Linked DNA regions of Diceros bicornis minor. The protein of the gene in region 2 interacts with the protein of the main gene of each other region in a biochemical or structural test. Links are inferred from orthologs where the notes say so. Each region holds a gene or a part of one and is shown on either strand. Other genes may lie near its edges.

Region 1 (3,741 bases), on a different chromosome or scaffold from region 2:
GCCTTTTCCCCAATGGCCACAGAGAAGCATGGGCTGTGGCTGATCCCAAAAAGGAAAACAGGAGTTTATAAAATTGTCCAAGGATCTCCCCCATCTGGTAGATGGAGGAAGATTGACTACAGGAAAGTTCAAAGGTCGGTCTTGGCAGATCTAAAAACAGAGAGGCAGCAGGGGACTGGCAGTGCACTTTCTGTCCCCGAAGTAAACCGATATGTCCTGATTCATAGCAACGGGGCACAAAGAGTGGGGCAGAGGAGGGTGCGAGGAGAGGGGCTGAGACTGGGAGCTTCCTTGGCTGGCTTCCGAAGCCCTAGGAAGGTCTTTCCAGCCACAGGGATACTCACCCCCAAACTACAGGGGACGGTGCAAAGCTGGGTTGATATCAGAGTCTGATGTGACCAGTTTTAAAACACAGAATAGCAGCACACTGTGACAACATCTGACACATTCCATAAATCCAGTGGAAGCATCTCCACTGTTTCCCCAGAAAAGTCAGGGTTGTTTTTTTCTTTTTTTCCCCCAGAAAAATACAAAACACACCCAGAGAACCATAAATAATTTGGTGGCAATATATACACATTTAAATAATTAATTTAAATATCTTACACCTACTCTGGCATTCAACTGTCCATCCAAAGAAAGTGCCCCCAGGTGGTCCTTGGCGCTCCCCTCTGGCGGCCTCCTGAGGCTGAGGCAGAGTTCTGGGGTCACAGTCTGGGGAGGAAGTGGGTCACCTTCATGGTGGGTGACACTCGGTTCCCCTTCTTGGGCTTCCCGTTCTTGCTGAGGGCGATGAACATGCCGGGGTGCCTGTGGCACTCGTAGGAGTTGTAGTTGTTGGGGAGCAGAGTCTCTCTGAACTTGCACTCGTCGGTGAAGAAAGGCTGGGGGGAAGGAGGAGCAGTGTTAGGTTGGGCCACCTCCTGGCCAAGGGACCCTGGGGGCTCCTTTCTGTCCCAGCCGCCCCCCTTTGGCTGAGAAGTCTCTCCTGGGAAGTTGGGGTACCCAAACCCTCACACAGTCAGGCTACAGCAGCTGATGCTCCAGCCACCTGCCCAGCACCTGCAGCCACTGTGTCCACCCTAAAGACTGCAGTCCTGCCCGCCGGGCCGGCCCCAGAGGCTACAGACAAGGGTTCCCAGTGGCACCCTTTGACCGACACGCAGGGATGGCGGAAAGCTCACTGTTCCTGTCTTGGAATAGCGCCCCCTTCTCCGGGCTGGCCCCGGGGCCTCTGGCGGGGTGAGGGCAGTGCCAATCCTGGGACCCCTCCGCAGTTCCACGATCCACGGGTAGGCGAGCGACGCTGCCCGCGCTGGCCAGCCGGGGGTTCGGCCCGGCCGGTGCTGTACTCACCGAGCCGTACAGCTTGCCCTTGCTGCTCATGGCCACGAAGAACCGACTGGCCACGCCAAAGATGCTCACCACGCCCCGCTCCACCGGCGAAAGCTCCAGCAAGCCTGGGGGCGGGGCGAGGGTCATTCCCGGGCAAGGGACCTTTGGCCCGCACCGCCCGTCCCGGACCCCCTCATCGGCCTGCGAACCTCCAGGACCCATTTCTGGGGTGGGGGTGGGTGTAAAGGGCCCGGGATATCGGCCGCAGGCTGCACCCAAAGGGCCCCCGGAGCCCAGCGACCTCGGGCGCGGACTCTCTCGCCGCCTGTCCCGGACCCGCGGCGGCCGCGCCCGGTCCCGGACAACAGGAGGGAGGCGACTTCGGCGGCCCCCGGGCCCGGGCCCGACCTGGGCGTGCGTCCCGGGACCCCGCGGGCGCCGGTGGCTGCGCCGTGCGCCCTATGCCCACGGGCGAAGGCGCTGGAATTCGGCGCCAGGAGCCTGGGCTTCCGAAGGCGGAGAGGCGGGACTCGGCCGCCGGGGTGGCAAAGCCGGTCCCTGCGGCGACTCCCGGAACCTGGAGTGTTTGCGTCCCTGCGCCAGGGGGACCGGAACCCGAGACCGCCCGGTTCCCAGAGCCCGCGAGCAGGTGCCAGCCCGGGACCTTCGTGCGCGAGTTGGAAGGAGCGGCCGCCGCCCCGGCCCCCCGGCCCTTCCCGCCCGGCCCGCCGCACTCACTGTCGCTCGTGTCCGCGTGCACGCCACCGATGCGGCCGTCGGGGAGCACCTGGAGGTGGAAGCCGATGCCCACGTTGCAATAGAGCCGCCGCAGCCGCTTGATGCCCAGCAGGTAGTCGCCGGCGCCGCTCTGGACGGCCGCCTCCTTGGGCTGCGCGGCCACGGGCAGGCGAGCCAGCGAGCGCGCCACCAGGCTCTCCCAGCGGCGCTCCAGCTCGGCCTCCAGCGTGCCGTTGGGTGCGGTGGGCGCGGCGGCGCCCCCTCGACCGGCCCAGGGCGCCAGCAGGGCCAGCAGGACCGCCGGGAGCAGCGCCGCCGCGGCCGCCCCGGGCCCCGCCATCCCCGCCCTCGGGCCGTGCGTCCGTCAGTCGGTCCGTGCGCCCGGGAAGCCGGGGGGCCGAGCTGCGCCTGTGGCGGCCCGCGGGAGCGCACGGCCTGGGGCGGGCAGGGAGTGCGCGGCCGACGGAGGAGCGGGAAGCGAGCGACGGGGCCCCCAGGCGCGGGGAGCTACCCGGGCTGCATGGAGCGGCGGGCAGCGGCCGAAGGACGCACAACCCGGGCTGGGACCCTGCGGAGCGGTGCGCGCCTCCCTGCGCGCTGGGCCGGCCCGGGGCCAGGCCGCTATATATAGCCGGGCGCCCCCTCCTACTCCCGCGGGGGGCCGTTCGCGTTCGCCTGGGCGCCCGGGGCGCTGTGGCGCTCGCGGCTGGTCGCAGGCCGCCTGCCAATCAGGGCTGGGGGAGGGGTGGCGGCCGGGGACGAGCGCTGCGAGTGCCACCTGGAGGGTCCCCAGTCCCCACCCCTGGCTTCGCCCGGCCCACGGACCTGTTTGTCCCGCCCCTCGCATCTCCTCCACTCCTGCTTTCCAGCCAGAGTTTTCCCTCGTGCTTCGTCCCTCCCCGTCCCGTATCTGTGTGTCCTCTTAGCCTCTGTTCCAGCAGCCTGGGTGCCGCCCTAAGCCGGCACCCTCAGCACTCTCAGCTCCCAGCAGCCACTCTTTGCGCTTTGCCCCTCAGGGACTCCCAGGAACCTGGTTCCTTGGCGGGGATCATGCGGTCCCACCTGGGAATGAGGGGTGGGTAGAGGCAGGAAGCAACACCAGCGCCTGGGGGAGGAAGAAGACCCCAGCCGCTGCAGGCCGGGGAGAGGCAAGCCCTGGGTTGGGCCCCCTGCGCTCTGGGTGATTCAGGGATGGAGTTCTGTATCCCAGGTGGTGGCTTCGCCTGAGCAGGTGCCTCCAGGAAGGCACTGCTAAGGGAAGGCAGGAGGTGAGGAGTGGGGCTGCACCCAGGGGAGGCCACAGCCCTGCACCCCATCTACACCCACCTCCATGCAAGGACAGGTGGTAGGGCGCAGGGGACATTCACTGTCCCCATCCCCTTTGATTCCGAAGCAGGAACGTTCAAGTGCCATAGCCAGAGCCCCCAACCTAGCAGGGACCCTGGCAGGCCTCTGGAAAACTCCCCTCCCCCACCTGCTGTCCCCACACCCCACTGTGCCCATTATGGCCTGATGGGGGCGGGACTCACTAGAGGCCCGGAGAGATGCTGGCTCACCTAGGTGTGAAAATGTCTGTTCTGGGGCTGGCCCTGTGGCTTAGCGGTTAAGTGTGTGTGCTCCGCTACTGGCGGCCGGGGTTCGGATCCTGGGCACGGACCGACGCACCGC
Region 2 (3,741 bases):
CACATGTGCGGAGGAAACAGGCACGTTAATTACCATGTCTAGAGAAAGTGCGATTTCATTACAGCCTCCAAAACTACCGCCCAAAGGAGGAAACCAGAGCGGTGTTTTCAATTTGAAAGAGACTGGAAAGGAGAGGGTGAGAGAGACCAACTCGCCCCACCCTGCCGCCACTTTGGGCCATAAGGTGCTTTCCTACCTTAAAGGATTTTACCAAAACCTCCTCAACAATCCCACCCCTGCTTTCAAACCTGGAGCCGTTATTTAAGTGGCAAACTGGCCCACTTCAATTTCCGGGGACTGCAGCCCAAATAGCTCCTTAAAACGCAAAGGAGCACGCAACAGCCCCCGCCCCCATACACACCCTCGGCCGCCGCGCACGGGCTCGCTCCAGAGAGGGTGGAAAAGGGACGCGTGACGCCACCGCCGGGCGGCCGGAGACCGGACGGCGGGCTCCGGACAGAGTCCGACGCTCCCGCTGCTCCAGCTGTAACTGAAGGGACGAAAAAGCAACGCTTTGGTTCCAGAAACTTCCGTCAGGGACAGTTGTGGGTCAGACCCATGGCCAAAGAGGCCACCTCTGGCAGATGAACCTTTCGCAAGTGACACCCCCTAAGACCTTGGCCCTATCTCCTACGATCCTGCCCACGATGCCTCTTTTCTGCACAAGCTAGAAAGCACCACCACCATCTGATCCTAAATAACCCGAGATCCAGGGTAACCTTCTTTTCTCCCTCAATCCCAAAGCCTCCAAGTCTTAAGAAATTTTACAGAGGAAGGTGGTAAGGACCAGTCGAAGAATCTCAGTTTTAATCTGGGGGAGAGAGAAGGGAGGAAGAGGGATGTTAATAATGTGGCTGCGGTGTACCCGTGTGGGGAGAAACGGAACCAGATGTGGCCGCTACATCTGGAAAATGGGGGGAAAAGTGTTGGGGGTGAAAGACACCCAGAAACTTTTAAATGGACGAACAGCTTCCGGGCCCAGAAAAGAGAAGCTGGTCTCACACCCCCTCCCCAAAGGCGGCTGGCTGCCTTCATAGGACATGTGTTAAATGAACTCCATCTATAACGTCCATAAATTCCTCTGCAGATGAGGGTTCTAGCCCCTCTCTCCCAACCCCAAACATAATGCGAGAGGGGAGCAGGGGGCAGAAGGGTCTGGGCCAGAGAAGCAACATGCATCGCTGCCGAGTGAACCGCACCGGACAAAACCCTCATCCCTTCCCCCACCTCCTAGAACCAGATTGGAACTGAACATTCCCCTCCCCCCGACCCCATAATGGGGCTTAACATCACCCGCTGGGCGCCCTCCCCTTCCCCAAACTTCCGACCCTTTCTGAGATGGACTAAATAGAAGATAACCCCCTCTGGAAAAGGGAATTCCTTTCTCGCTCTCCGCTAAAGCAGATGCAGCCATTTGGTGACGACACCTCCTTAAAACCTAATCGGAGAGAAGCTAACCTACTCCTCCAGTTCCTTGCCTCATCATGCGCCCCCCCGCCAAACCCCGACCCCAGACTTTCCCGGAGGTGGAAAAGGACTTAGAAACACCCTGAATTTTTAGGGTTCCACCCAAAGCTACCTGCTGAATTGGGGTGAGTCCCCAATTCAAAAAAGAGACGGAGTGGAATGCAACACACACACACACGCACACGCGCACACACACACACACTCCCCCTCTCGCTGCCCACTCCCGCCCTCCTCCCCAGTCCGAGGACACTGAGGGCGGCTGCCGCCTTCGCCCCGGCCCTGTCCCTCCCCGGACTCACCGCGGAGCCGCCGCCGCCGCCTCGCCAGCTCCTCAGCGCGAGTTGGCGGAAAAGTTGGGCGGCAGGAGGAGCGGCGGGACGAGCGCGGGGAGGGGGCGCAGAGGCGACGCGAGCGGAGGGAAGGGAGGGGAGACAAAAGGGGGGCGCAGAGCGCTGGGGGGGAGTCGGGAGTTGGAGGGGGGCGGGTAAGGAGTAGAGGGAGGCGCCGGATCCGACTGGGCTTCGGTGGGGAGAGCGCGCAGCCGGGAGGCTCCGGCGCCGGGGGCCGCTCGGGACGCCAAGCCCGCCCCGGATCTGGGGGCGCCGCGGCTCTTACCTCACTCGGCGCTGCGGTTCCGCCTCTGGAGAGTCCGCCGTGGCTTGTGCGGGCGCCCGCGTCCCCGGCTCCGGCCCGCCACCCCCGGGCTCCGCTCGGGTCCTGGCGGGGCCGCAAGAGCCCGGCGGCCGGCGCTCGACTCCCGGTGGCGCTCGGTGCTCGGCGCCTCCAGCTCGGGCGGGAACAATGGAGCCGAAGCTGGTGCCCCGGAGGCGGGGCGGGGGGAGGGCTCCCGTCCGCCGCCCGGGGTCTCCAGACCCTGTGGCCCCCCTTTCCAGAACCGGGCGGCGGCGCCTCAAGCTTCTTGCAGACCGGGCTCCATCGCCCCGGCGCCGCGGCGTGCCCGACTGCAGCCCTGGTACGGTGCGCCCTGCGGGGCGCCCCTCGGACCAGCGAAAAGTCCTCGGTCTCCGCTGCTTTTCCAGCTGCGGCGCGCGCTCGCGGCCGGGGAAGGCGAGGTCGCCGCAATGCGCTAAGCAGAGTCTCGGTCCTCTCCGGACGTTGCCGCCCAGCTCCGGGCACAGCCCGGGCTCCTCCGCGCGCGGCGGCTGGACCAGAGTTCGGGCTCCTGCTCGCTGCCGCCTGCTGCCGAGCCCGCCGCACCAGTGCCCGCAGGAGCGCTCCGAGCGCTGTGCGCCGGCGAGGCGCAAGGGCTCGCTCTCTCACTCCCACCCCGCGCTGGTCCCACCTCCTCCTCCTCCCCCTGCAGCAGCCTGCTGGGCCTTGTAGTTCCCGAGCCGCGGCCCCCGGGAAGGGGGGAGCCGGCGGAGCTGCCTGGAACTCTGCCCCTCCTTCCCTGCACGCTGGTCTCCTCTGGCGCGCGTGCCCCTCCATCTGAGCACCGCCAGGAGGGCGCCCGAATTTCAAGCCGTGGACACATTAACGGGTTAGGGGGTGAGGTTAGGAGACTTGTAGCCCGAAGGTTGTCCGTGGTAGCACGGGCTTTGGAAGTCTGACTGTGTGTCTTGGAGAAATGCTTTTCTCACTCGACATCTCAGTTTTCTCATCTGTAAAAGGGCGATAATAATACTTGCCGCATAGGGTTGAGGATTAAGTGAGGGCTTGGCACATAGTTACTCAAGAAATACAAGCTATTTTTATTCAGGAGAAGGTCGAACCCCTCCTCAGACCCTCTCCTTCCATCTCACGTTCCCCAGCTACATAGTTTTGGTTTGGGGGTCCACGGGGAGCTGGGTCCGGTAAATTCTACAGCGCACTTCTTGGCCTCCAGAAGTCTCCAGCCTGCAGTAAATGTTTCGAAAGTAAAGAATGAGTGGAGGGAGCTGGAGGGTGTTGCTAGTTTGGAAATTAATCCGTTCCCACCCAGGGCACTCTCCAGCACTCTATGGAACCCCAGGAAAAGTGGCTAAAATGCCCTTTCCCCTGGGTCCTTCCATAGGATGGTATAATCTAAGTGGTTCCCTAATCCAAATGTACATGAGTCCTCTGAGGAACTTCTGAAAAATACATATTCTTGGACCTGCTCAGACCTGAGGAATCAGGCTGTCCCAGGAAGGAGCAAAGAGTCTGTACTTTTTTTTATGGCTCCGTGGTGCCAAGATGGGGACCACTGGTAGGGTGAGGAGGATGCCACACTAGGTATGAAAGATACCTCCATTCTGGTCCCCTACTTATGAACTGTTTGATTTTGGACGTCAT
Region 3 (3,741 bases), on a different chromosome or scaffold from region 2:
TGGTCAGCTAGCAGAGGATGGGTTTTCAGGGAGTAGTATAGCAGTGGAGAGCCCGACCTTTAAAGAAAAAGGGAGTACGTGGTAATATGGGTGCATTGGTGCTTCGAGCGTTGGCAGCCTTCCTCTGGGAGGGGTTCACCCCGCTAGGCTAATGGGTTCTTCCAGCATCTAGAACACTGTGAGCTCCTGACTCTTCCTCACCTTTTGTTTCTTAAACACTAAAGACTGGCTCAGGTGCTGAAACATGTTGATTTTCGCCCTGCTCCTCCACCGTCTTCTGTTTAAAATACAGCTATAAGATTTATTGAAACCCTTTGTGTTGGTACCTCAGTGGTATTCTACATTAATATCCTTAAAAATTGAGGTTGTGTGCCACTGTAAGAAAATATTATTTAATATCGTGCCTCTACCATAAAACCTACATAAAAAGCCTTGGTGATCTTCATAAAGAGACCACAGATTTCAGCATTTATAAACACGAAAACATTTCCCTTCGGTTATTTCTAGAAATTCCTTCTAAACATCTGCGTTTTCTTCTAACTTAAAGTCGTTTCCCATCTCCTCTCCTGAGATCTGTTGCCTCTCTGTGGAAGAGGAAACTTCATAGCCGGTATAACACAAACAAACAAGCAAACAAAAACAAAACCTCTCAACAGCAATTCCTATCCGTCTCCAAATTTCTAATTTCTTGCACTTACAAAAAAAATTAAGTCCTAGGTTTTCCTTGTGTTTCAAGGATCTTGGGATCTAAATGGACAGATTCAACAACTTTGAAAACCTAACCAAACCTAAGATTTTGTTTTTATTATTTATTAGTTATTAAAATATCCAGCCTTCTGATTAAGGAAGGCTGAATGGCAAGAAGGACCGCGGAGGCGTGGCGGAGAAGTGTGAAAAGAAGAAATCCCAGCTCTGCCTGGAAGACAGCGTATGAAGGAGCCCGACTCCTCCGGCAGTTCCAGGCCGCGTTTTGCAGGCGGCCGCATCTGCCTCCCCTGTCTCTCTTACCTCCTTGATGTTCGGCACTATTTGTGGCCGGCGTGGTGGAAGGACACAGTGAGGTTTTCACCCCCGCCCCCCGCCCCCCGCTCCCATCCCCAGTTCCATCAAAGCGAACCCGGGCCAGCGCAAGGATCTCCGAGTTGCGAGTGTGCTGAGGCTGGGACTGTCACTCATTCTCTGATCAGCGCGTGAACGCAGCTCGGCAGCCGCTGGCAGGAAACAATTCTGCAAAAATAATCATACTCAGCCTGGCAATTGTCTGCCCCTAGGTCTGTTGCTCTGCCGCCATCCACACTCGCTGCAAGGGGGGGGGCGGCACAGAATTTACGGCGGCAAGAACATCCCTCCCAGCCAGCAGATTACAATGCTGCAAACTAAGGATCTCATCTGGACTTTGTTTTTCCTGGGAACTGCAGGTACATTTTTTAAATTGTTATTATTCTCAATCTGGTTTACTCATTGTCTCCCTCCCCTGGCTCTTTCCCCGAGGAACACTGTTATTTCGGATGGTTTTACATGGAATGCTAAGGGTGGTCATTTCCATTAAGCTGAGGAATGAGCGCGTCGCCCTTGCTGCCCAGTCGAGCCCCGCGCTCTCCTGGGCTGCGCTGGACAGGGGCTGCCTCCCCGCGCAGCGAGCGGCGGGCGCCCCTCCAGCGTGTCCGCCCTTCCCACTTTGTGTGTCCGCGGCGCTGGGAGCGGAGCCGCCCGCTCTCAGGAACGCTGCGGCCGCGCCGGTGTTGGGCAGCGCTCCTTCCCCGAAGGCGGGCGGCGGGGCGGGGGATGCGGCTGCTCGGTGGTGCCACCGCACAGGCTCGGATTCCGCCGGGAAGGGGCTTGTCAGCTCGGGCTCCGGGAAGAGTGAACAATAAGGCCGGGGAAGCCGCCTCCGATCGTTATTTCCCCAGGTCTAATAAAGTGGGGCTCGCCGCGTTCGCGCCCCCACCCCCCGCCCCCCCGCCCCGCCCCGGGCCGAATAGCGGTTTGCAAAATGGGGCGAAATGGGCAGAGTCTCAGGGCTGTGTGACCGTTGTTGCACCCCCATCGATATGACGTTAGTTTTTCATTTGCCAAATTGCTGGTTAGTTGCAAAGCCGGCTCTCGGTCCGGAGCACCGAGGGATGGGAGGGTCGAGCGCCGCGTTTTGACAGGAGGAAGTGAGGAGGGGCGGAGGGCGTGATCCGGGATGCCCGATGTGTGTGTGCGCGCGTGTGCCTTCACACGCACCTCGAGCCCCGTGTTGCACGGTGCGCGAGAAGAATGGCAGGTAGCCGCCCGAAGCACCTCGCCCCAGTCTCCTTTCTTTGGACGGGGTTCCTTATCCTTGCAAAGTGCGAACAATAGGGAGCTGGGAGGAAGACTGATGCTGCCATGGGTGGCGGGGGCTGTGCCGCCGCCCAGAGAACCTCGGCGGCCGGGAGGGAGGTTCATTTCATTTTGAGTATTTCCATCCCGGCCTCCCTGGAAGATTCTTCTGTGCGTGCCCACCCTCCCCTCCAGCTGCTCCCGCCACCCAGCCCCACCCCACCCTACCCCAGGATTTGTGCTTTGGACGGGAAGGGATAAGAAAAGGAGCAGGGGCCGCCGAGAGCTGGGTGGGGTGGGCGGACATTCTGCGCGAGGGGCGTGTGCTGGGGAGCGCCCGAGGAAACCCGGCGGAGGGGGCTGAGTCGTGGTCGCCGCTGCCAGGTGCCGCTGGAGCTGCTCTAGACGGCCGAGCCTGGGTGGGGGAGCGCGCAAGGCGGTCGGGGAGCACCCAGCGCGCCCCCTCCCCGGGCGGCACGAGAGCAGCGCTCGGCCGCCGCCTCCAGCCAACTCGGGTCCCTCCCTTGGCGACCAATCAGAGCGAGGCTGGCTGGGCGGGAAGCCGCGAGAGGCTTTTATTGCGGCGCGGGTGGCGGCCCGGAGCTGCCAGGACCGTCTCCCGGTGTTCCAGCCTAACGGTCTCGCTCATCCCCCGCCGGGAGGAACCCCGCCCTGCGGCCGGTACCCTGCTTGCCCCGCAGTTTCCGAGGAAATAAAATGGAATCCAGGTGGTCACTGGCAGGTGCCCGCCCACTCGCACCCCTTTCACGCTGACTTGGAGCATCCTCCCGCCGGCTTCAGCACACACTCCCGCCGCGTAGTCCCGACCTGAGCGCGTGGATTTGGAGAGCGCCGTGGCAGGGCGCTCCGACGCGCGTGCGCCGACCGGCGGGCAGTGGGCTGTGGGCGAAGCTGGGGGCGGGGCGATGCGGGGGCGGGGCCTCGTCGGGCGGGGGGTGGGGGGCCGGCAGAAGGCCAACGCCGGTCCGCACGTCGCTGGGTCCCCGCCGCCACCTGGCAGGGGGCCGCCCGGGGCTTGCCTTTTTCCATCGCGCCCCAGGTCTCCGCGGCACGACCTCCAGGCTCAGGGGTTTGTGTTTCTGAGACTTTCTCCCCTCTAGGTGGGGGCGTGACAGTGGAGACCTGATCTTTGGTGGGCCTTTGGGGGATTGCCCCGCAGTCCTTTCCGTCATCGTGATGAGTGTAGCCCTCAGTGTTTGGATCCCCGGGGAGTTGTATGCGGTACACGCCCAGGGAATCCCAGGTTGAGACGTTTGCAGCTGTCCAGTCAAAGGTGGTATTCTGACCAATGTTCCCTGAAAGGAATGCGTCCTCATTTCTGGCCCTAGTACTGTGAGGATGGGAAGAAGGCAGAGCATGAAACATAAAAGATTGCATTGCTTAACAAAAGAAAGAAGTTGAGCGGTTTTTCAA

The links.
Region 1: the proteins of FGFR1 (region 2) and FGF4 form a complex in vitro, tested with the Homo sapiens proteins (2 studies listed by BioGRID and IntAct, with this or other methods). The link is inferred for Diceros bicornis minor from reciprocal best matches to the Homo sapiens genes FGFR1 and FGF4.
Region 3: the proteins of FGFR1 (region 2) and NCAM1 form a complex in vitro, tested with the Homo sapiens proteins (2 studies listed by BioGRID and IntAct). The link is inferred for Diceros bicornis minor from reciprocal best matches to the Homo sapiens genes FGFR1 and NCAM1.

What each region holds. Positions count from the first base shown.
Region 1 is NC_080770.1:4,397,251-4,400,991, reverse strand, and holds FGF4 (fibroblast growth factor 4), read right to left. Parts: upstream 2,712-3,741; 5' UTR 2,414-2,711; coding exon 2,074-2,413; intron 1,461-2,073; coding exon 1,357-1,460; intron 885-1,356; coding exon 708-884; 3' UTR 484-707; downstream 1-483. UniProt on the Homo sapiens protein: Plays an important role in the regulation of embryonic development, cell proliferation, and cell differentiation. Required for normal limb and cardiac valve development during embryogenesis.
Region 2 is NC_080768.1:35,047,744-35,051,484, forward strand, and holds the start of FGFR1 (fibroblast growth factor receptor 1), read right to left. Parts: upstream 2,704-3,741; 5' UTR 2,083-2,703; intron 1-2,082. UniProt on the Homo sapiens protein: Tyrosine-protein kinase that acts as a cell-surface receptor for fibroblast growth factors and plays an essential role in the regulation of embryonic development, cell proliferation, differentiation and migration.
Region 3 is NC_080746.1:23,382,236-23,385,976, reverse strand, and holds the start of NCAM1 (neural cell adhesion molecule 1), read left to right. Parts: upstream 1-1,166; 5' UTR 1,167-1,366; coding exon 1,367-1,418; intron 1,419-3,741.